Linked DNA regions of Tamandua tetradactyla. The protein of the gene in region 1 purifies or fractionates together with the protein of each later gene. This does not show direct contact. Links are inferred from orthologs where the notes say so. Each region holds a gene or a part of one and is shown on either strand. Other genes may lie near its edges.

Region 1 (11,441 bases):
CCCACCAGGGAGAAGTGGATGCCCAGCCTGGCTGCAGGAGAAGCCCCCTCTCCTGGGGAAGGGGGTGGGAGCTGTTCCTACCTCACAATCCATGCATTTAGTCACCGGGCACAGTTGACCAGCCCAGGGCATTTCCTCAACTCCCAATCTCCCTAGAAACACCGACTCGGGGGTCTGAGCTCCCTGGGGCTCCCAAAACAAATGACCCCAAACTGGACGGCTTCAAACAACAGGAATGTTTTCTCTCCCAGTTCAGGAGGCAAGACTTCCAAAGTCAAGGTGTGGGCAGCGTCGGTCGGTACCTCCCGGAAGCTCTTGGGGGCACAGTGGTAGGAGGTGGCCGGCTGTGGGGCAGATGGTGCTGGCTCTGGGGGGCCTTCAGCCGGAAATCTGTTCCATGCCCCTCTCCTGGCCGCTGGTCCCTGCCGTCTGCCCTCAGGGTTCCACTCTCTCCATCTGCCCCCACACAGCCTTCCCTTCCATGTGTCTCCATGTCATCTTCTCTCCTATAAGGATCCCTGCCATTGAATTTAGGGCTCGAATGTATTTAAGAGCCTTAGCTTAATTACATCTGCAAAGACTCTTCCCAAATGAGGTCACAGTCACAGTGAGAGGTTCCGGGTAGACTGTTGTTGTTGTTGTTGTTTTGTTGGGGGGCATCGGGTTGGGGGCAACCATTCAATCCGGCACCTGGGCAAGGCAGGGAGCTTGGAGGGAGGGGCTGGCGGGCCCCCCGGATGGGGACCACGTCAGGGCCTCGAGGGCTGATGGGGCCGGACCAGGGAGGGCAGGGCCGGGCGTGGCTGGAGATAAGCCAAGCCAGAGCATCTGGGCCCCACTGGGACAGGCCGAGTGCTCAGGGCAGAGGAGAAGCTGGTTCCAGGGAGGGCAACAGCGTGATTTGCTTTCACCCAGAAGTCAGAGCTGAGCCCTGGATGGCTTGTCACCATGGGAACCCATGTAGCCATGTCACTCCAACTCAGTATGGGCATGGCCAGGCTCAAAGGGAAACACGGGAGGGTCCTTGGGAGAGGAAGGGGCTCCAAGGCCCTCTGGCCACTGTGGGGGCCCAACTGGCCGGAGCTAAGGTGAGAGTCCTGAGATGAGACTACTGATCCGGGTGGGCGAGGATAAGTTCCGTCCCAGAGGGGGCACGGAAGAGGTAGGAAACAGTCCAAGACGTGTTTTGGAAATAGAATTGGGAGGATTTGCTGACAGATAAGAGGCAGGGGTGTGGGAGAAAGCCAGGTGTCGTGGGTTGAATTGTATCCCCTAAAAAGATATTTTCAAGCCCCAACTCCCCAGTACCCTTGAATGTGGCCTCATTAGCAAATAGGGTCATTGCAGATGGAAGTGATTACATTAAAACGAGGGCAGACTGGAGCAGGGTGGGCCCTTAGCCCAATACGAAGGGGAGAAGCGACGCAGAAATACAGAGAATACAGCCGTGTGAGACAAGGCAATGCTTGGAGCAACGCATCTACAAGCCAAGGGTAGCTGGCAAGCACCAGAAGCTGGGAGAGGCTGGGAAGGATTCTCCCCTACAGGGTTTTGGAAAGAGCACGCCCCTGCTGGCCCCTGGATTTGAAACTTTGGTCTCCGGAGTAGTGAGAAAATAAGTGGCTGTAGTTTTAAGCATCCCCACCCCGCACCCCCACCACCCGCCAAGTTTGAGGTCCTTTATTACGGCACTCTCTAGAAAGCAGCATGGCCAGCACTGCTCACGAGAACTCTGTGAGCTGTGGAAGTAATTTTCAAAACAATTTTTTTTGCGGTAACATATATATGACATAAAATGTCCTATTTTAACCACTTTCAAGGATACAATTCAGTGGGACTAATTACATTCACAATGTTGTACCACCATCACCATCATCCATCGCCAAAACTCTTCCATCACCCCAGAAAGAAACTCTGAACCCATTAATTATGCACTTCCCATTGCCCAGCCCCCTCCACAGCCCAGGCATGCCTGTTTTTTTTTCCAGGCATGCCTCTTGATCAGGTAGGTGCCTTGGGAAATCCCTGACACCCTCTCAAACATTACGGACTCCCAAGCTAATAGGCCAAGCCCTTGATCTTTCTGTTTGTTTGTTTTGTTTTCTCACTTCATTGTTCTTCATTCTTTTTATGTGAAAAATTGCAGTTAAGTGCAATTTGCTCTAGTTTGATTAAAACGTTACAACAGTTACCAATTCAAAACTATTAATAGATAACTTTTCCTGAAAAATGAACTGACTGTAAGTGAATAAAAGGGAACTGTGGAGTAGCTTGTGTAGTTGAACTGATGAGTAGGAGGAAAGTGGCACAAAAAGAAGATGGCCAGGAAGTAAAGGTCAGATCACATTGGAACTCATGATCTATGGTAAGGTTTTTTTGTTTTTTTGCTTTGTTTTGTTTGTGTGTTTGTTGCATGGGCAGGCACTGGGAACTGAACCCGGGTCTCCGGCATGGCAGGTGAGAATTCTGCCACTGATATGGTAACGTTTATATTTTATTTTAAATGCAGTTGAAAATCAGTGCATATTTTAAGCAGCTCTGTGGATATGAATTATAGAGAAAAAGAACAGAAGCAGAGAGAGAGTAGTTAGTTGATAATTAGGAAACTATTGAATCCAGGTAAGAAATGATGGTAGCTTTGAATGGAGAGGTGATATAGCTAAGAGAGCAAACAGGGTTTGCTGGTAGATTTGGCTATGGGGGATGAGGAAAGGGAAGAACTTGAAAATTCCTCCAGCTTCCCAACTCCCAGTCACAAACGTACTTTCTCATCCCCCCTGTATGCAAATCAACCATGTTACCCCACTATTGTTTGATGCCACCTGCGTAAAATCAAAGGATGGCATATGTGGCCTTTCCTATCTCTCTTACCTCCTGCTCCAGCTTCTTATCTCTTATCACTTACCATTATTCCACCATAGCTTTCACTAACTTCTCTAAAAGAGATATAGATATTTTCATATTTGTATTGATTTCGTATTCGTGAGACCATTATCACACTCAACAGAATTAATAATGAATCAATATTTGATGACTTCTAATAACTAGTTCATAGCTACATTTTCACAATTGTCTCAAAATATCCTTTTACAGTTGGTTTGCAAAATACAGTTGTGAAGCCTTTGGCAAAGAAAATAACTTTAAGAGAAGATGCTGGAGTTCCAAAAGTCTGACTTTAATACAGAAACTTCCAAGCTGATGTCATGACTAATAGATTCCAGGAGATTATATGATGATGTAAGAGCTTGTTTGTTTGCTTGCTTCCTTCACCTTCACTCAAGAAAGGCTGATGGGTCAGGACCACCTCTGTCAGCTGTGAAGTCACGTGCCTGGCGTCTGTTGGTCCCTTGCTCCTGAGCTCTGTTGCCTTCAGCCTCTATGCCTGTGGGGGTTCGTCACTGTGCTTCTCCAGGGCTGGCTTTCATCTCTTAGCTTCCCTTGCTCTCTCCAGGTTCTGGCTAGCTTAGCATCTCATGGCGACATCCGCTGGGCTCCAAGCATCTCCAAAACATACGTGTCTCTGTTTCCTGAAGCAGCTGTTCTCCAAGTGTCTACATCTGCTCTCTGTTGGCTCTGAGGCTTCTATTATTTCTTCAAGCTCTTGATCTTGAAGCTTGACCTTATGAAACATTTCTGTAGTGGAGAAGCTAAGGCTGCCTATAATTACTCCTAAGAGTTACTTCCAGAAAACCTCTTTTGTTGCTCAGATGTGACCTCTCTCTCTCTGAGCCCAGCTCTGCAAGGAAAATCATCCTCGCCCTACGTGAGACATGACATCCTGGGATGAAAGTCTCCCTGACAATGTAGGACATGCCTCCCAGGGATGCGCCTGGCTCAGGCCCTGTGAGACCGACAATGCCTACCTGACCAAAAGGAGGAAAAGATACGTAACAAAATAAGGTATCCCTGGCTAAGAGATTTCAAATAGAGTCAAGGAGCTATTCTGGAGGCTGCTCTTATGTAAGCTTCAGCTAGATATTGCTAATGGCCATAGTTTGCCAAACCCCAACCAACAGTATTCCTGAAAACCCTAAAGAACACCCTGGGTTCTATCTGAGACTCTATAAAGTTTCCGTCACTAAGTTAGTTTTTCAGAAACCTAAAACCTATGGATAGTCCATAAGCCAGATAAACCCTGAAACCAGAGGTACTAGTCTCTCCAAAAACATCAGCCAGTGTATCTCCCTGCCCCGTATTGTTGACACCCCTTTTCAACATGAAGACCTTAGAATGGTCATTGCCCAAATACCCCTAAATTATATTGGGAGAAGGATCAAAGGAGAAGGAGGAGCTGTAACAGATAAGATATTTAATGAATGAGTATGACTGCTGAATCATTATATTGATATTTCTTTTAGTCTCCAGTGTCTTGGAACAGCCAGAAGGAAATACCTGAAATTGTGGAACTATAACCCATACCATACTTTGAAATCTGTTCTATAACAATTAAAATGTTCTTTGAAATCTGTTCTAGTTTGCTAGCTGCTGGAATGCAATATACCAGAAACAGAATGGCTTTTTAAAAGGGGAATTTAATGAGTTGCTAGTTTACAGTTCTAAGGCCAAGAAAATGTCCCAATTAAAATAAGTCTAAAGAAATGTCCAATCAAAGGCATCTAGGGAAAGATACCTTGGTTCAAGAAGGCCGATGAAGTTTAGGGTTTCTCTCTCAAGTGAGAAGGCACATGGCGATCACAGTCAGGGCTTCTCTCTAGCTGGAAGGGCATATGGTGAACACGGCATCATCTGCTAGCTTTCTCTCCTGGCTTCCTATTTCATGAAGCTCCCCGGGAGGCATCTTCCTTCTTCATCTTCAAAGGCCGCTGACTGGTGGACTCTCTGCTTTGTAGTGTTGCTCTCTCTGAATCTCTCTGAATCCCTTTCTCCAAAATGTTTCCTCTTTTATAGGACTCCAGTAAACCAATCAATACCCACCCAAATGGGTGGAGACATGTCGTCCCTTAATCCAGTTTAACAACCACTCTTGACTAAACCATATCAACCAGGGAGATGATCTCATTACAGTTTCAAATATACAGTATTGAATAGGGACGATTCTACCTTTATGAAATGGGACTTATATTAAAACATGGCTTTTCTTAGGGGGCATACTTCCTTTCAAACCAGCACAAAATTTATCACTTTTTTGTATATATTTTATATTTCACAATAAAAAAAGGTTAAAAAAAATTCTGGTGAGAGCTCGCTCATCAGTTTAGATCTAGTTTCACCTGTAGAGCTGTGTTCCAGTAGCTTTGATGCTTGAAGACGATTGCATAATGATATAGCTTTTACACTGTGACTGTGTGATTGTGAAACCTTGTATCTGATGCCCCTTTCATCCAGGGTCTGGACAGATGAGTAAAAAAATATGGATAAAAATAAATAAATAATGGGGCATATAAGGGGTCAAATAAATTGGGTAGATTGAAATACTAGTGGTCAATGAGAGGGAGGGGTAAGGGATAGAGGCTGCATGAGTTTTTTCTTTTTATTTATTTTTCTGGAGTGATACAAAATGTTCTAAAAATGATCATGGTGATGAATACACAACAATGGGATGATATTGTGAGCCACTGGTTGTACACCATGTATGGCCTCAATGTGTGTGAAGATTTCTCAATAAAACTAGTTTTTGTTTTTGTTTTTGTTTTTTTTTGTTTTTGTTTTTGCACGGGCAGGCACCGGGGATCCAACCCAGGTCTCCGGCATGGCAGGCAAGAACTCTGCCTGCTGAGCCACGGTGGGTCACCCAAAACTAGTTTTTAAAAGAAGTATAACATTTCCCTCAATTTCTGTACTTAATTCTATTAAAATGGGGGCCTCCTGTTCTTTTCCTTCAAGATCTCTTCTCACTTGCTCTTCAATAAATTTGGCAGATTTTTGTTCATTAAAAAAAAGGAACCCCTTTGACATCCTCCCGCCCTCTCCAAGTGTGCGCAGGAGGCAGTTCAGATGCCAGCCTCGAGCAGGGCCCTAGGCACATTCCCACTGACAGCACTGGCCCAGCCTCAGCGGGGGTGGCAGAGGTCAGCCGAGCAGGAAGGGAGGGACAATAGCTGCGCCGCGTTGCCTGGACAGTCGCCGCGTGTGCCAGCCGGGTGGGGCCAGCGGGGCAGCCCGCAGCCGCTGAGCCTGGGCCGGCTCTCTCCTTTCAATTTGCCCCACTGCAAGCCTGCGCGGCGGGCACACTGGTCGCACAGACTCAGTCATTCCGCGAGGCGCCAGCAGGCTCGCTGCAGCCACAGACTACAATTTCCAGAATGGCCGCGAACCCCTGCTCCAGCTCCAGCTGCCCGAAGAGGCAGCTTTGAACTAAAACCAGGAATTTTCACCTGACCTGGGAACCGAGCGTCCCGAAGTGCCAGGTGCTGTGTGTGTGTGTGTGTGTGTGTGTGTGTGTGTGTGTGTTTGTGTGTGTCTTTATTTCTCGGATCTGTTCCTGCTTGGTAAATCCCGGTAACAAAACAAACCTGGAGAGGATGAGATTATCTCCTGGCGCACACTACACAGTTTGCTGAGACGCTTTTCCGCACCAACTTCGGGACCAGAAGGGATAAGAGAAACAGCCCCTGCCTTCAAGGAACTCGATCAGATGGAGGAGGCAGGCCCTCCAAAGTTTACCTCCCTGAGAGGGCAGTGGCTTGGGCTGGCTAGATTCTCTGCACAAAGTAGGTGCTCGATCAATTTTGGCCAAGGGAGCCCACACCGAATAGGCTGTCTCGCTCTCGTGACCATCCGGTTGCAGCTCTTTACGTTGCCTTCCAGGCTTCTAGGATATTGCATTTATCCTTCAAGTGTGCTGTCTCTAGGCCCCATCTCCGGGCCTTTGCACAGGCTGGTTCCTTCCGTTAGGAGCTGAGTCCGCCTATCCCGGGATGTGTCTGCAGAGGTAGGTCAGCGCCTAGCACTGAGCAGCTGCATGGTAGATATTTGATGAGTGATTGAATGAATGAACGAATGAATGAATGTCTTGTCCATTGTGAAGTCCTAGGACGCCGAGACACTCAGGCCAGCTCCCCCCTCCCGCCTCCCATTCATCTCAGCTCCCCCCGCCCCCGTCCCCGCCCGCCAGTCTGGAATGAATGCATCTTTTGATTCACCCCGAGGATGGCCGCGCCAGGGCCGGTAACCGGGTTAGGGGCTGCCCTCAACACCCTCTTCCCCGCCCAGACCTCCTCTAGGGCTCGCTTTTGCGGACGTTGGGAATTCGCATCTTCTTCCCGAAATTCACCCTAGGTCACCAGACCCACGCCCGCCCCTTAACCCCCAGCCCTCCGAACACTCCAGCGGACACTGGGCGAGTAGCACGTGGTCCAGGGGCCTCAGCTGCCCATTGGCCGCTCGCCTCCTTCCCTCCCGCGATTGGCCGCCCTGCCGCGGTTACCCCCTCCGCTGCCCTGCGGTGGTACAGCCCGCCGTGGCCTAGCTGGGGGGGAATAGTCCACTGTGCCGCGCCGCAGGGGGATCGGGAAGAGCCACGCGGGGCGGAGGGATCCCTCTGGAATGCGGTCAGGCCCACCCGCCGCGGGAAGGCGCGGATTGGCCGCGAGCGCCGGACCGCAGGCGCTGATTGGCTAGGCGCGGGCGCCGGCCCCGCCCCTCCTGGCCGCTGCTGCGGGAGAGGCCCCGGCCGGAGTTTGCGGAGGGCCGAGCCCGGCGCGCTCAAGAGGCGACGGCCCAGGTGAGTGTCCCCCGCGGCAGGACGCGGACGCTCGGGGACCCCGGGGCGGACACGCGGGGTCGCGGACACGCGGGGTCCCGGCTGATCCGCTGTGCGCGGGGTGCGGTCGAGCCGGTGGACGCGGCTGGAGGTCCGGCTTGGACACGGGGATGCCCGCCGCCCCTTCCCAGGGGGGCGCCTCCCCTCCCGCTGGGGACAGTGGGCAAAGGCGTCTCCGCCGCTGGGCAGGGGTCTCCGGATGCTCCCCCTGCCCCCCTTGCACAGTCCCCATCCCCACGGGGATGGGCGCGAGTCTAATATTTCTGCCCCCTATCCGGACACCTACCGGGAACTGGCCGCGTCCGAGCCCTCCAGGGCTTGTGGGGGGCCCCGGGAGAACCAGGTCCAGATAATGGTAATGAAAAGGTGGCCCCGGCTAGGATTTGAGTGCTTCCGTGTCAGGCAATTAGCATGCATATCACTGAGTCTAAACACCTCGTGGGAACTGCTGTTACTTCTTTTAGAGGTGAGGCTGCAGACACAGAGAGGTGGAGCGACTTGCCCCAGGTCACACAGCTAGTAAGTGACTCAGCTGGGACTCGAACCCATGGCTCTGAGTCCTGAACCTCTGGACTCCATGCCCAGTAGCTCCGTGGATCAGGTGCACTGGACCAGTTGCTCTACCAGCTTACCCTTGCCCCTACCTTAACACCCCGGAGCCACACCTCCTGGGCTTTGCCTTCCCCCCAACCCTGAAGTCACCAGACACCTGTCGCTCAAACAGGAAGCTGCTCCCATGTTCCTTCTCCTCTGAACTGGAAAGGCAAAAATCAAATACCTCCTGGGTCCTGAGAAAAGAATGATATGGGGCAGGGGCAGGGGCCTGGAGTCCTAAGCCCTCTGGATTTCCCAGCCACTCTAGGCAGTCTGAGTCTAGCCCAGGCAGTAGGCGTTCTCCCTGGAAACACCCAGGAGCCGGTTTTTCAAGACTGAATCAGAGGCCTCCTGCCCTCATTCTTGCCAAAGCGCTACCCTGCTGGAAGGGGGAGCCTGGGTGTGGTGTTCTGCCCCAGCCTTGTATGAGCTGCCAGGGACCCTCTTTCCTACTTCCTGCTTGCCCCACTGCGCTTCTGTTTGGCTCTGGGGTTGCTAAGTTTCACACCCTTCCCAGGGATGCAAGGGAGGGGATGCTGCAATTCCAGCTTGTAGCTCTGTGCTGGGGGGTTGAAGTTTGTCTTCTCTGCCCTCATGATCAGATTTGAGGAGCAGTGCCAATATAACAACCCCATAGCAGGCATGTTCGGGGGCTGCTCTGAGGATAGGGGTCTCAGGACAGTAAGAACGAGGACATTCCACAAATATTTCATTCATTCCAAAAATATTTACTGAGCATCTACTAAGTGCCCAGGCCCTGTTCTTGGCATAAAGAGTGCAACAGCGATCAATCTCTGCTCTCTGGGAGCTGACATTCCAGTGGAGGGAAGCTGGCAACACAGAAGTTAACAAGTAAATAAATAAAGAAGATTTCTGCAGATTGTGATAAATGCAAAATAGAAAGGGGTGATATGATAGAGAGAAAAGAGAAAGAAAAAATCTCAAGGGAGGTGACTCTGGAGCTGAGGCCTGAATGACAAAAAAGGCACCAGCTCAGCAAAAATCCGGCAGAGGGCACAGCCCTGAGACTGGATGGAGCTTGGCGCAGCATGCCTGGGGCAGGAGATGAGTTCTACAGCAGCCTATGGTTGAAGGAATTTGGAGTTTTTCCGCTGTAAGATGGGGAACCATTGAAAGGTTGGAGGCAGGGGAGTGGTGCAATCTGGTTTACATTTTAAAATAGAGACAGCGTTAAATAACGGCTCAAGCATGGAAGACAAGCGTTCTGTCAGGACAACATGTAATTAAGTGCATTGGCTTAAGTCTCTGGACCACAGGGGTGGTTCCAGCAGGCTGGGACAAACCAGGGTGGCTGCCTGGAGGAGATGGTGTGGAGTTGGCTTTATCAGGCTGAAAGGACTGGGATGTACCTTGGCAGAATGGGGAAGGGGAAAACAATATTAATAGCAGTAATAATAACAGCTTCCTAAAGTGTGTGTCAGAGCAGAAAGTTAGTTATATGCATAATCTCCCTAAGAGATGGGAATTCTGCCTTTTTTCAGATGAGGGAACTGAGGCCTCGTGAAGTGAATTGACTTGCCCACAGTCACACAACTGGTAAGTGGCAGGGGTGGGATTCAAACCCAGGCCACACTGCCTTTCTGGGCCTGGAAGGCAAATTCATTAAGCATCCTCACCACCATTAGTCCCAGTTTGCAGGTGAGGACCCAGAAGCTGGCCTGAACTGGGGCAGTGAGTTGTGAGGTAGGAGAGAGAACAACAGAGAGGTTAAGATACCTGCTCAGGGAAAGGGGGAAAATTCAACTTCCCCAAGTGGAGAATTCTTGATATTCTCACAAGCTGTGGGGACAACCAAAGTAATAGGCTGAGCCCCCAATCTTGGGGTTTGCTCATATGAGCAAACTTAATCCCACAAAGGATAGGCTAAGCCTACTTAAAATTAGGCTTAAGCGTCACCCCCAAGAAAACCTCTTTTGTTGCTCAGATGTGGCCTCTCTCTCCAGCCAACACGACAAGCAAACTCACCGCCCTTCCCCTCTCTATGTGGGACATGACTCCCAGGGGTGTGGACCTTCCTGGCAACGTCAGACAGAAATCCTAGAATGAGCTGAGACTCAGCATCAAGGGATTGAGAAAACCTTCTTGACCAAAAGGGGGAAGAATAAAATAAACAAAATAAAGTGTCAATGGCTGAGAGATTCCAAACAGAGTCGAGAGGTTATCCTGGAGGTTATTCTTATGCATTAAATAGATACCACCTTGTTAGTCAAGATGTAATGGAGAGGCTGGAGGGAACTGCCTGAAAATGTAGAGCTGTGTTCCAGTAGCCATGTTTCTTGAAGATGATTGTATAATGATATAGCTTTCACAGTGTGACTGTGTGATTATGAAAACCTTGTGTCTGATGATCCTTTTATCTACCTTATCAACAGACAAGTAAAATATATGGAATAAAAATAAGTAATAGGGGGAATAAATGTTAAAATAAATTTAATAGATTGAAATGCTAGTGATAGATGAAGGGGAGGGGTAAGGGTATGGTATGTATGAATTTTTTTCTGTTGTCTTTTTATTTCTTTTTCTGAATTGATGCAAATGTTCTAAGAAATGATCATGATAATGAATATGCAACTATGTGATAATATTGTGAATTACTGATTATATATGTAAAAAGAAAAAAAGATACCTGCTCAGGGTCACACAGCTAGTAAGAAACAAAGCCAGGTTCCATACCCATTTTCTTAGAATTCCTATCTCCTGGGGCAATTCAGGAGGATTTGAAGGATTCACTATCTCCTCGATAGTGGGGGCAGAGGGAGGGTCAGGGGAGAAATGACGTTTTTCTTTTTAGCAACACTGAGTGTAATAAAATAACTTGAAGGAGCAGAACTGATTTGTTCATTCAAAATTTATTTCTTGTCAAGTATTCAGTGAGTGTCTATGTGTGCCAAATCTTGTGATGGGTGCTATAGATAGAGAGATGAGGGAAAGATAAAAGACTCCTATCCACAATATATAAAGAGTTCCCACTAATCAATAAGAAAACAAACAAACAAAAAACAGACTATGCAACTAAAAACCGGGCAAAATCAGGGGAGTCAGATTCTTACATGATATCTCAAAACTCTGGGAATCAGTCTTCCAGCAAACAAGTTAGAAGCTG
Region 2 (10,907 bases), on another chromosome or scaffold:
ACAGCTTGGGCACCTAACTGGTTCTTCTCCAACAGGAACAGCCCAGTGTGAAGTCTGGCGTGTCATCTGCTGGCCAGTGAGCTGATTGATGATGGAGCTACTGGTATACCACACTCCACCACTTTCTGACCCATCCAGCTAAGACAGGCTGGAAAGGCCATGAAGAGAATCCCCAAACCATCCCCAGTGGAAACAACACAGTGCAGTACTTCAAAACGCTTCAGCTGGACCCAACTTTTTGTCATCTAGCTAACTCCTTACGGGGTTGATGGCCTCCTAAGTTGATAGAGAACTGACTGATTTACTCAGAAAACACAGAGACCTTCTGCATTCAGCGGGCCATGTAGTTATGTTCTGGAAACAGAGGTTCAAGAAATCCCTCTGTGATGTTTGTGAGCTGATTCCACATTTTCCACCTTCAACCCGAAATACCCACATAAAGGCTTAGGGTTAGGGTTAGGGCGCCTCCCTTGACAACCAGGCCTGTTTCTTAAACTTCTCACCAAAACGTTTATAGAGATGAAATAAGATTTTTTGAGGTCAGTCTCTTTCAACCTCTACTTTGATCACTCAAAATAGAAACGTGGAAATAGATCTTCTCACAGGCCTTGAAAATCAAAGGCTATATTTATGGTCATAGTTTGCATTATTTTGAACAATTATTTAAGTCATCTGAAAGATTCTACCACTTGAAAAGTGGGCCTCGCTGTATGATTTTTCTGTAAGCCTACGGCTTATCTAATTAAAAAAAAAGAAAAGATTCCCGGAGCCTGCCCATGAAAAAAAAAAAGCGAACCAAGTTAATCACGGATATCTGGCACGAAACTGTGTGTTACCAGGGCAGAGAGCAATTCCAACAGCAAAAAAATAAAGTCACTGAACAAGCGGTGTCATTTGAAATCTAATGAATACAAGTAGATATCTTAAGTCTTTTCTCTGCCTCCCACGCATGGGAAAGTATATTCAGAGGGTGAAGCAAGTTCTTCCTGATGGAAATAAGCGCCATTACTTCCTAGGGCCTCACACCTACTATGTCCTGTCTCTCAGTTCGCTCATATTTTGTGCTTCTTGTAACAAACTACTGAGCCAAAGAAAACTTTTTCCAGCTGCCTGCCCAAAGGAGAAAAGGAAAGACAGTATTTCTAGATGAACTCTACTTTTATACTTTATAGTGTATAGGTTTTTGTGTATAGTGTACTTTATAGTGTATGGTGTAAAGGTATATAAATCATAACCTTTATAAGTTATGATTAAGTCAGCTGGGATCCAATTCCATCAAAGTGGCCCTCCAAAAACATACCTGCTGAGTTCCCTTCCCTGTGAAAGGAAATGATGAAGATTAAACTGCATTTCTTCGACAAAGCCTTAGGAAACAAAGTAGGCAGTGTCCATTTATTTGCCTTGACGACCTTAGAGGTCATCACCCATGACCCTCCTGTGAAAATTCCAGGGATCCTCCATGCCACACCTCCATGGGGTGTGGCAGAGAAACAAGCTGAGTGACCTCCAGGGTCCGTGATTCCTCATGGACATGATGAAGAAAAAAGAAAGGTCTTTGCTCGAGGGCTATCCATGGTGAGGAGTAAGTGAAACTACATCGGTAAAGTGCTTGGCTAGTGATGTTCAGCCCAACAGAAGGTGTCACCCAATGTATATTAAACTTGGCATCTCCAACCCCCTTCCTAAGTTTATTTTTCTCCTTAGCACTTGGCACCAAAAAATGCATTGTGTGCTTTACATTTTTCAGGGGAGGGCTCCATCTGGATGTAAGCTCCAGTAGAACTGGTTTTGCTCACTACTGTATACCTGGGAAACAAAGGCTGGAACACAGTAGGCGCCCAAGTAAGTGCTCCTGGAGTGAATGGTCATCTTGGCTGCTAATAATACCCAGGGAGGTGCATGGCTGGCTACTGGATCGAAGTGTCGGCCAAAGGCAAAGCTGCAATCCCCCTGCCATACGATCACACAAAGACAAGTCACTGTGCACTCAAGGGACGGGAGTAAATTCGAACAAGAAAGTAAAAGAAACAGTGTAAAGCGAAAGGTTGGGAAGAGAGGAGGCGAGTCAGGCTGGAATAACAGACAATGAGCGCTCACTTCTCCCTCCTGGGTTGGCCAATACTGGTCCCAATGGGATAAACCATCTTTTGCTTCCTTGACACAGTTCTGAAAATGCCATATAAAAACGAAAGCCAAACGAAGATTAAAGAAAGCTGGCTGGCCATTAAAATCTTGTTAGAATCACTCAAGGCTATATTCTCCTTATGTTTCTCCCAGAACAATTCCCTTACAGTGAAATTTTTAAAATTAAGAAACCAAAGCAACTGAGCATGCTTTATACACAGCCTGAGAAAGTGTCTCGATGCCAATTATCACTTTAGTTCCATCAGAATGAAGAATAAAAATGGCTTTAGTGAAAACCCCAAGCACTCTCCTCCAGAACGGGGGAGGTGACATAGCTCATCCGAGGGGCAGGTTTCTCCTGGGAAACAGAGCTCCTTCTATCAGGAGCGCCGGGCACCGTGGCATGGAGGGCGGAGGACATTCACTCCCTTCCCAGTATGGCCACGGGGGCACCAGGGAGTGCTTCTGTCTGATCAGATGCCAGAAAATCCCTCTTCAATTCCATCTTAATGAATTCCCAGGAGCGCTGCCCTCATTCGGAGCTACCTTGATTTTAACACCAAAAATCCTCCTTGCGTGTCAGGAAGTTCAGGGCACTGACTAAACATTTCCCATCCTTCCATATTCTTAGGCACGCAATGCTTGCAGTAAAGTAACTGGGGGCAGGCTATTTTGGCTGGAATAAATTCCCAACTCGAAGCGCTCTCCCCCATTCGAGCTTTGAACGAGGCTTCCTGGGCCAGACGCCAGGTCTCTGGCTCCTTGGCCCCTTGACCTACCCAGGACCAGATTTCCCCAACACCCTCCTCCACCAGCCGACCTGTGCCTGTTCACCATCAAGGGCTGTCTTGTTTGTTTTCCATCCCCAGTGCAGTTGCCTTTTACAAATAACAGCCAATGCATTTTCCCCAGATTGCTTTAATTTTAAAGAATTCAGCACTCTTCCCCTGCTTCAAGGTGCTGGCCTAACTATGCCAATTTATGCCCACATTTTTGCAGCTCTAACCCCGATTCGTTGGGCTACAAAGAAAACAATTACGCATCACCAAAACAACTGCAGCCAGCGTACTAATAAACCCTCATGGGTCCCCTTGCTGATATTTTCTTTTGTAGAACATTTAAAGGAAGGCTCAGGGCTGCAAGCACAAGGAAACGACAGGAAGAGGAAGAAGTTAAGGAGAAAGTGGGAAGGGAGAAGCTAATCAGTTAGAAAGAGAAAAACACAGTGGGCGTAATTTTTAGGACACCAGTATGGAAGGCCACAATCTTATCTGGGGGACAGAAGTTCAGCTCAAAAAACATTTACTTGGAGCTTAAGCTATGACAGGGCTGAGGACTCAAGGTTGAAGATAAAGCACCCCCAGCTCAGCCTGCTCTATGCAGGGCAGTGGGTAAGTGCTACGAGAAAGCTGAGGATGCTGAGGACAAAACACTAAGGCATGCAGGAGAGGCTGTGCCTGGCCTGGAGAGACCAGGTAAGACTTTCTGGAAGAAAATGATGCCATGGCTCTTCCTCGGTGTCCCAATGACAGGTTGATTTTATGGGACATTTGGAGAAGCCTAGAGCCTCTGGGTGATTAAATCCCGGACTCACCTTCTAGAAGAGGGCTTGGCCCACGATGCCCGGCCGCCTGGTCTGGTGAATAAGGTTTTACTGGGACACAGCACGAACACTTGTTCACCCATTTCCACAGATGCTCGGAACTACTGTGGAGCTGAGTCGCTGTGACAGAGACCGGCTCACAGAGCTTAAAATATTTATTCTCTGGCCCTTTCAAGAAAGAGTTGCTGACCTCTGCCTTAGACCTCTGTTTATTCTCCATTTTCCCTCTAACAGTTCTCAAGATTTGATGTATTTACTTCACTCTCCTTTTCTGTAGATTTTTCTACCACCAAACTCCATCCCTTTTACCAAAACGGATGAAAAGAGAAAAACATATTCCTTATGAAGACGGGGTTTCAATACCTGGGGAACATTCATAACTTTCTGACGCTCCCAAAAAACAAAACAAGTGGAGACTGTTCCAGGGCTTAATTTATAACGGGACAAAGTTGGAGAACTACAATTTAATTATCTGAAGGCTAAACTGGCAGCCTTTATACAGGCAAGTTTTGGGGACGTAATGCGCTTGTGAATCCCCATCTCTTCCCTCTGCCGAAGTCCAGTTCACCAGCGGCTCACCTTTGACATCATTAAAGCTCGTCTCTGAAAACCCTTCGCTCAGGTCAATCAGAGTCCCCTCTGACCTGCACCGGGGGAGGCCACTGGAGTTGGCAGCTCGGATCCGCTGAGCTGCCATCCTGACCCCTCTTCCAGACCAAGCTGCTAAGGGCTCATGTTTCTTCCTCCAGTTATTCCAGCGATTGCAGCAGTTTCTGTCTCAAGCAACCAAGGCTCCCTGTGGTGTCCACTCTGCAATGTCCTTCCACCTGAAGGGGGGAGGGGGGAGAGAAAGCATTTCCTTTGAGCAAGTGACACATGCGTTAAATAGAAATGTGATGGGAAGTGGGAATTCTTTTCTCCAGAAGATATTACAATAAAGATAGACCTAGACCCATTCCATTCTTCCTGGCTCAAGAAAGCAGAGCAAGGAGAAGTCTGCTCACAACCCTCTGTGCCCATTTCATCGGCTCCCTTGGCACAGACAACCCGAGCAGCATCCTGGCGTCTTGTGTCCACTCTTCCTGGGGCACAGCGGGGTTTGTCAGATGGGTCCCAGCACCTGGCAGGCCCATTCACTGCTGTCAAAGAGAGGGACAAAATGGGATCTGTGCAACCCCCACTGCTGGCTCCAGGGTTCAGGAAAAGAGAAAAAGCCTCCCTTGGCCCAGGTAATAGCCGTTCTCACTGGAGGAACGGTCCCTGCCGGGCCAGGGCCCCAGGGGTCGGTTAGCAGAGGGCATGTCCACTGCCCTCAGTGGTGGGCTCTGAGGGTCAGGAGAGCAGATATGCCCCCTGCCCATGCATTCACTATGGACTTAATAATAATAATAAACAAAATAGAGAAGAGGCCATTTCAGTAGGTGAGGCACGTCCAGTGTAACTTATGCAGATGAAACTGTGGCACATTAGCTGACCACTGTGACCTCACCAGGACAGCGGAGACCACTGCTGTGGCAAAGCATAGGAGTCCCTCCTGGGGGTGGGGTGGGGGCATAGGCCTTGGGCATTTTAGGGGTTTGGGAGATGAACGAGGAGGCTGGCTTTAAGCAGACCCTTCACTGCGGGGTGTGGCCAGGAAAGGACGCGTGGAGGGCTGGCTACAGGGCAGTGGGTGCCACGCACGGGTCCACAGGAACACGCTGTCCCCTCCAAAGCAGGCTGCACTGGCCCCACCGCTCAGCGCCGGGCGCACCTGAGGGCAGCGAGTTCACCCCAGAACTACCGGGTCCACAGCCGTCGGTCTGTGCTCCTGCACGCCCCTGCTCGCCAGCCCAGGACTCCTGGCAATGGGCTTCTCCTCCTAAGGGGAACTCTGGGCAAGGGAGAAGGGGGCGGATGGGGAGATACTGCCACCTGCCCTGGGACGTCTGGGGCCACCACGAGGGTGGAAGAGGCGAGGAAGACTCCTGTGCAGAGTTTGGGGGGCTCAGGGGGCTCAGGGGTTGGTCGGGTCCCTGTGGCCTCCAGCCCTGGTGCTGACACCTTGCTGTCACTTAGCGCCAGGCAGCTCGTGGGCTGTTCTGAGACAACCGAGACACCCGCCTGTGCAGTTACAGCGTAGAGACCTTCCTTCCCTAACCCCGCACCCCGCACGCCTCCTCCGCGGAACACTGCACTTTGGGGGGCCACTCGCCTCCACAGAGGCTGGCCCAGGCACCAGGCTGGGAGGGGTGCCAGCTATCTCCGTCCCCGAGTTCAGGCATGTTTGCCCACTTCTGCTCCCCACCCCACACTCCCCCTCCGGCAGGGCCCTCGTGCGGCCTGAGGCTTTGGTGGCCCTTACCCCACCCCACCGGGACCGAAGCTCCCTGGCCGCACAGAGCTGTGTGCAGGGCTGGCCGCAGAGGTCCAGCAGCCACCCAGACTTTCCAGAAACTGCTCTGCATGGACCAGGAGCCCCCAGGCCAGGGGACCCTGTGGGTGGGCCCTGCTGGGCACAGACTGCCCCGGCGGAACCAACGCCAGCCCCGGCGGCCACAGCCTTCAGCAGGAACAAGGACATACGCTGAAATACAGAGAGATGGCACAAAACTCCTTTTGACCCAAAAGACTAAGTTTAGTTTACTGGAGAGAATCAACATGGAAAGTGTTTGTGTGTGTGGCTGGGGGACTGGGGGTTGGATAATTCTGAGCCCGAAGCATCCTAGGGCTGTCATAACAAAGCACCGAAACACCAGGGCTCTGGCTCTCCCACTGCCGGAGGCCGGAGCCGGAGACCTGCAGCCGCTGCAACCTCAGCAGCAGTCTGGAGATGGCCTGCCCGTGGCGCAGGGCTCCGTCACGGGGCGCTCTCCCCCCACCCCGGGGTCCTTCTCCTGACTGTGCCCCAACTTCCCCTTGCAAGGACAAGGGCCACACTGGATTAGGCCGTACCCTAACCCAGCTGGCCTCACCTTAGCTAGTGACATCTTCCCAGGTGCTATTTCCAATCGGAATCACAGTCACGGGACTGGGGTTTTTATTGGGGAGGAGGGGGAGCAATTCAATCCATGACAAGCCCACTGTCTGTTTGCCGGGTGGGCTCTAAATCTGACCTATAGGCTGACGGAGCAGAAGCATTTGGGGACATCGAGTCACAAGGCCACAGCTCAATTCCAAGCTGCCAGCTGGGAGGCTGGGGACCCGGCGGGCTCCCACGTGGGCAGAGGCCCCCACCAACACACTCCTCAATCTGGGAGTCCCTGCGGCCCAGGCATGCCCCAGCCCAGGTGGCCGCGGGAAGAAGCACCCCAGGAATTCTTCAAGGAGACCCCACTCTGACCTGGCGAGGAGGGGCTCCGTGATAAAGGGGACCTTCCTCGTGCCTCCTCTGAAAGCCTTTTGGCTGATGTGTCGCTAAAGGGGGGAGTCCACAAAATAGCCAAAGGGGGCACACAAGGGGGACACGGCTGCACAGCCTCACGGCACCCCCTGTTCTGGGACCCGGGTGTGGCGCTGTGCCCTGGGCCGTGCTAGCCAGGGTAGGGGGTGGACAGGCCTGGCCGTGGTTCTGCTCCTGAGGACCCTGAGTCCTGGCAGAGGCTGGGGAGCTGCCCAGGTGACGTGGCAGCGAGTGCCACTGCCAGGAAGAGCCTGGCAGACAGAGCACATGGGCACAACCCGCACGGAGGCCCAAAAAACTCAGTGGGTACCAGGGAGAAACAGGGTACAGCATGGCCAGGACGGGGATGGGCAGTCCCCGGGGTCCCCGCAAGCCACAGCAGGTCTCCACTCAGGAAGGATAACTTTGGCTGCAGATAAGATAAACTGGAAGGTGTGCTGCCATTTTCCTTGAAAACCACTGACATGGTTTAGGAGAGACACTGAGGAGCAGGGTTGGGCTGGCAGCAGAGAGACCACCCGAGGGCCTCCTCACGCCCTGGGCAGCCCCCACGTCTGGAGGTGTGGAGGGCCCAGATGGGGCTGGTTTTACCCGGGGCCGGGGAGGAGCCAACAGCAAGCTTTGCTTTGCTAAGTGGGGCACCCGGAGGACACCCTGATAAGCAGCTGGAAGAAAAGTCGGGGTCTCTTCCGGGTGATGGGCAGGAGATGAGCTTTTCAGGGCCCAGATTCCTGCAAGTCCCCAGAGCTGCCGCGAGACGAAGAGCCCAGGGTGGCAGTGGCCTGGGGTGGGGGGGCAGGCAGAGGAGGAGAGGGCAGCCCGCCCCAAGGCCCAAGTTGGCCAGGCCCCACTCCTGGCCTCTCCCCTGCCTGGTGCCCTCAGGGTGAGGGCAAAGCTGTGTCCTGCACTTCTCCCCCCACCGTCTGCACAGAGGCCATCTGCACCCGGCACTGCTGCCCCCGCACCACCCCACCGGGAGGCCAGCTCTGTGCCTCCGCCTCCTCCTCCTCCCTGAGTACCTTCCTCCCCACCTACAAGAGAAGCCCCTTCCCTATAAAAGAGCCCCCTGGGCTCAGTCTCAAAGCCCCTCTCATGGCTCCCCCAGGTACCTCACCTCCTTGCGGCCTCTGAGCTCTGACCTCCAAATCACCCTCCAGCTCGGACCAGACCTGGGCTTCCCGGACCCCCTCTCTCCGCGTGGACACCCCCTCTCGTCGCCTCTCACCCCCCCCGCCCCTCCCCCCAGCCCTTCGCCCCTTGCACAGTCCCAGAGGCGCTCAGGCTCTTCCCACCAACTCCTCACGCAGGCCCCGAGTTTCCTCACAGCAGTCTTGGGGGTCCCGTAGCCCCTCAGCCTCACACCTCTGGGGCTTGCCCCCCACTTTGAACAAGCAAAGTTCAAATCGCTCAGCCTGACACACGCAGGCCTCCGTGTCTTGGTTTTCACTCATCTTTCCAGGTCCACTGCCCACCACGACCCCCAAAGCAGCGCATGCCGTCCTGCCTTCCCCACGGCCCTCGCCTCCGGGACGCCCAGGTCTCCCCTCCCGCCTCCCACGCATCACGGTCCTCCCTGGAGAGTGACCCGCGACAGTCTGTGGAGCCAGGACCCCGGGGCCTCGGATCCAGGCCGCCCGAGCTCAGGTCCCCGCCTTTACACACTCCTTGCTCTGCTGCCAAGGAGCGCTGGGGTCAGAGGGCATGAAGCGCCAATCTGCCTTGTAACCGGGTCACAAAGGTCCACGGGACTGTTGCCCCTACTTGCGTATACGCCAGAAAATGTGCGCAATGAAATGCTGCAAAATACAGGAAGGGAAGGTTAGGGCACGAACGCTGGTCACCCGCCTCCCTGGATATGCGTCAGCACTGTGTGTGTGTGTGTGTGTGTGCAGGGGTGAGCACGTGTGCACGAGTCTCCTCCCTACCAAGAAACAAGAAAACCTTAAGGAGCCACAAACTCAGACCCAGGCCTGGGAGCCCCTCGCTTGCCTGGGCCACGCAGTCACCTTCCTCCCGGGGGGCGGATCGCAGTCGTGGGGACACGAGAGACGAGCAAAGAGTACCAGGGAGTTTCGTTGGCAGTTTCGAGGGAAGCAGAACTGTGCAATACTTCAAAGTCATCAAGTTAGAACAAGCCTTAAACTTCAGGTCTCTAAAATAATCTCCTTTGGAAGAACCAGTACTGAGCTGTCCCTTCTTCCACCCCCGAGTTAGGGGTGGGAGGCTGGGGTGAAGGGGTGGGTGCCCCTTCTTTAACAGGCAGATGTCACTTGCAGATGAATGCAACACCCTTGCACAGAAAACAGGGACGGACCCTAGGAGGTGCCCACTGCGGCTCTGAAGTAACGGAGATGAGACAACGAAGCAGTGATAACTTGCTAGGAATCCTGCCCTAGAGGGGATGAATTCAGGGGTCCCCGCAAACGCTGACGGAGCACCTTATGTCCAAGCGCTCTGCTCACCATTCCCAGGACAGGGGACCTCCTTCCACAGCTGGGAACATTGGGGCATGGAGAGGTCAGGAGCCAGGATCATGAGGTCTGAGCCCCAGGAGCTCTGTGCTGTCACCGGTGAACTTCATTAAGTGAATGAGTGAACTTCATTAACTAGCTCATTCATTTGTCCCATCATTCACCCAACAAGCACTTATCAAGGGCCTGCCTGTGCCCACCTGTGCCCGCCTGCGCCCTTGTTCGCGGGGCTCAGCATACGACGGGGAGTGCAGCAGACACACCTACAGCCCACTCTGAAGCGGCCTCACTCACCCCCCAGCACAGGGCTGCAGCCCAGGACTGAATCCAGAAGGCTCAGCCAGGGCAGGAGGGACCCACGCCAAGTCACGGTTCTCAGGAAACAGCGGGCAGGGGTCCGAGCATGAGCCAGCTTCTACATGTCCTTGAGCCCCTGTCAGCAGCCCCCAGCTGCCCGGGCCCCGGCGCCGCTGCCCTCTGCCTCCCTCCTACTTCCCTGGCCTTCATCCACCCTCCTCATCTCCCAGCCTCTAAATGCTGGAATGCTCCAGAGCTCTGGGCTGCACCATCTCTTCTCTTCTTGACCAGGCTCAGGACTGAGCCCACCTCCCCTCTGGACCGCAGGCTCAGACCCCTCACGGCCCACCTTAGTGCCCGATGGGCACCCCCAACCCCCCAGGTCCACGCACCCCCCTCCCCTGGTCTTCAGCATTTGGGAAATGGCGACTTCACACAACCAGCCGAAAAACCTCCTCGGGCAAACCCCCGTTCCCAGCGGCTCAACCTTCAGACATGTCCCCCATGCGACCTCTTCCTGGCACCCCACTCTACCATCAGCTCGCAACTCAATTACGGCCATCGGCTCCTCCCAGGTCTGCCTGCCTCCAACTTCACCCTCCCGCCATCCACCCCTCAGTTAGCTGCCAGATCGTTTTAAAAAGTCAGATGCCATCAGGACTTTGTTCAAAACTCAAAAGTTCTGAGCTCCCAAGGCCCTCCTTACATGCCCTGCTTCCCCTTGGTGGCGTTTCCTGAGGTTCTCTTCCTCCTTCCACTTTCCTACCCTGGTCTCCTTGCTGCTTCCTCAGTACTGAGCCCATCCCTGCCACGGGGCCTTTGCACAGGTAGCTTCCTCGGCTGGAAGTCCCAGCCTGGAGATTCACTAGACTTGACCCTGCCTTCACTCAGGTCTCTGCTCACAGGTCCCCAAGTCAGCAGGCAAACACCCTGCCCAGCATGTGGTGACCTGACAACGTGTCCTTGCTCGGTCTGGTCTGACTCCTCCTGGAGAGCGCAGGCTTGGGCTCCGTCTACTTCTCTTCCCAGC

The links.
Region 2: the proteins of GIPC1 (region 1) and SH3BP4 purify together in Homo sapiens (affinity purification with mass spectrometry; 4 studies listed by BioGRID and IntAct, with this or other methods). This does not show direct contact. The link is inferred for Tamandua tetradactyla from reciprocal best matches to the Homo sapiens genes GIPC1 and SH3BP4.

The regions. Positions count from the first base shown.
Region 1 is NC_135337.1:88,469,869-88,481,309, forward strand, and holds the start of GIPC1 (PDZ domain-containing protein GIPC1), read left to right. Parts: upstream 1-6,078; 5' UTR 6,079-6,368; intron 6,369-6,381; exon of another isoform or gene 6,382-6,671; intron 6,672-6,768; exon of another isoform or gene 6,769-6,892; intron 6,893-7,594; exon of another isoform or gene 7,595-7,684; intron 7,685-9,819; 5' UTR 9,820-9,874; intron 9,875-11,441. UniProt on the Homo sapiens protein: May be involved in G protein-linked signaling.
Region 2 is NC_135329.1:212,016,883-212,027,789, reverse strand, and holds the start of SH3BP4 (SH3 domain-binding protein 4), read right to left. Parts: upstream 4,301-10,907; 5' UTR 1,958-4,300; coding exon 1,807-1,957; intron 1-1,806. UniProt on the Homo sapiens protein: May function in transferrin receptor internalization at the plasma membrane through a cargo-specific control of clathrin-mediated endocytosis.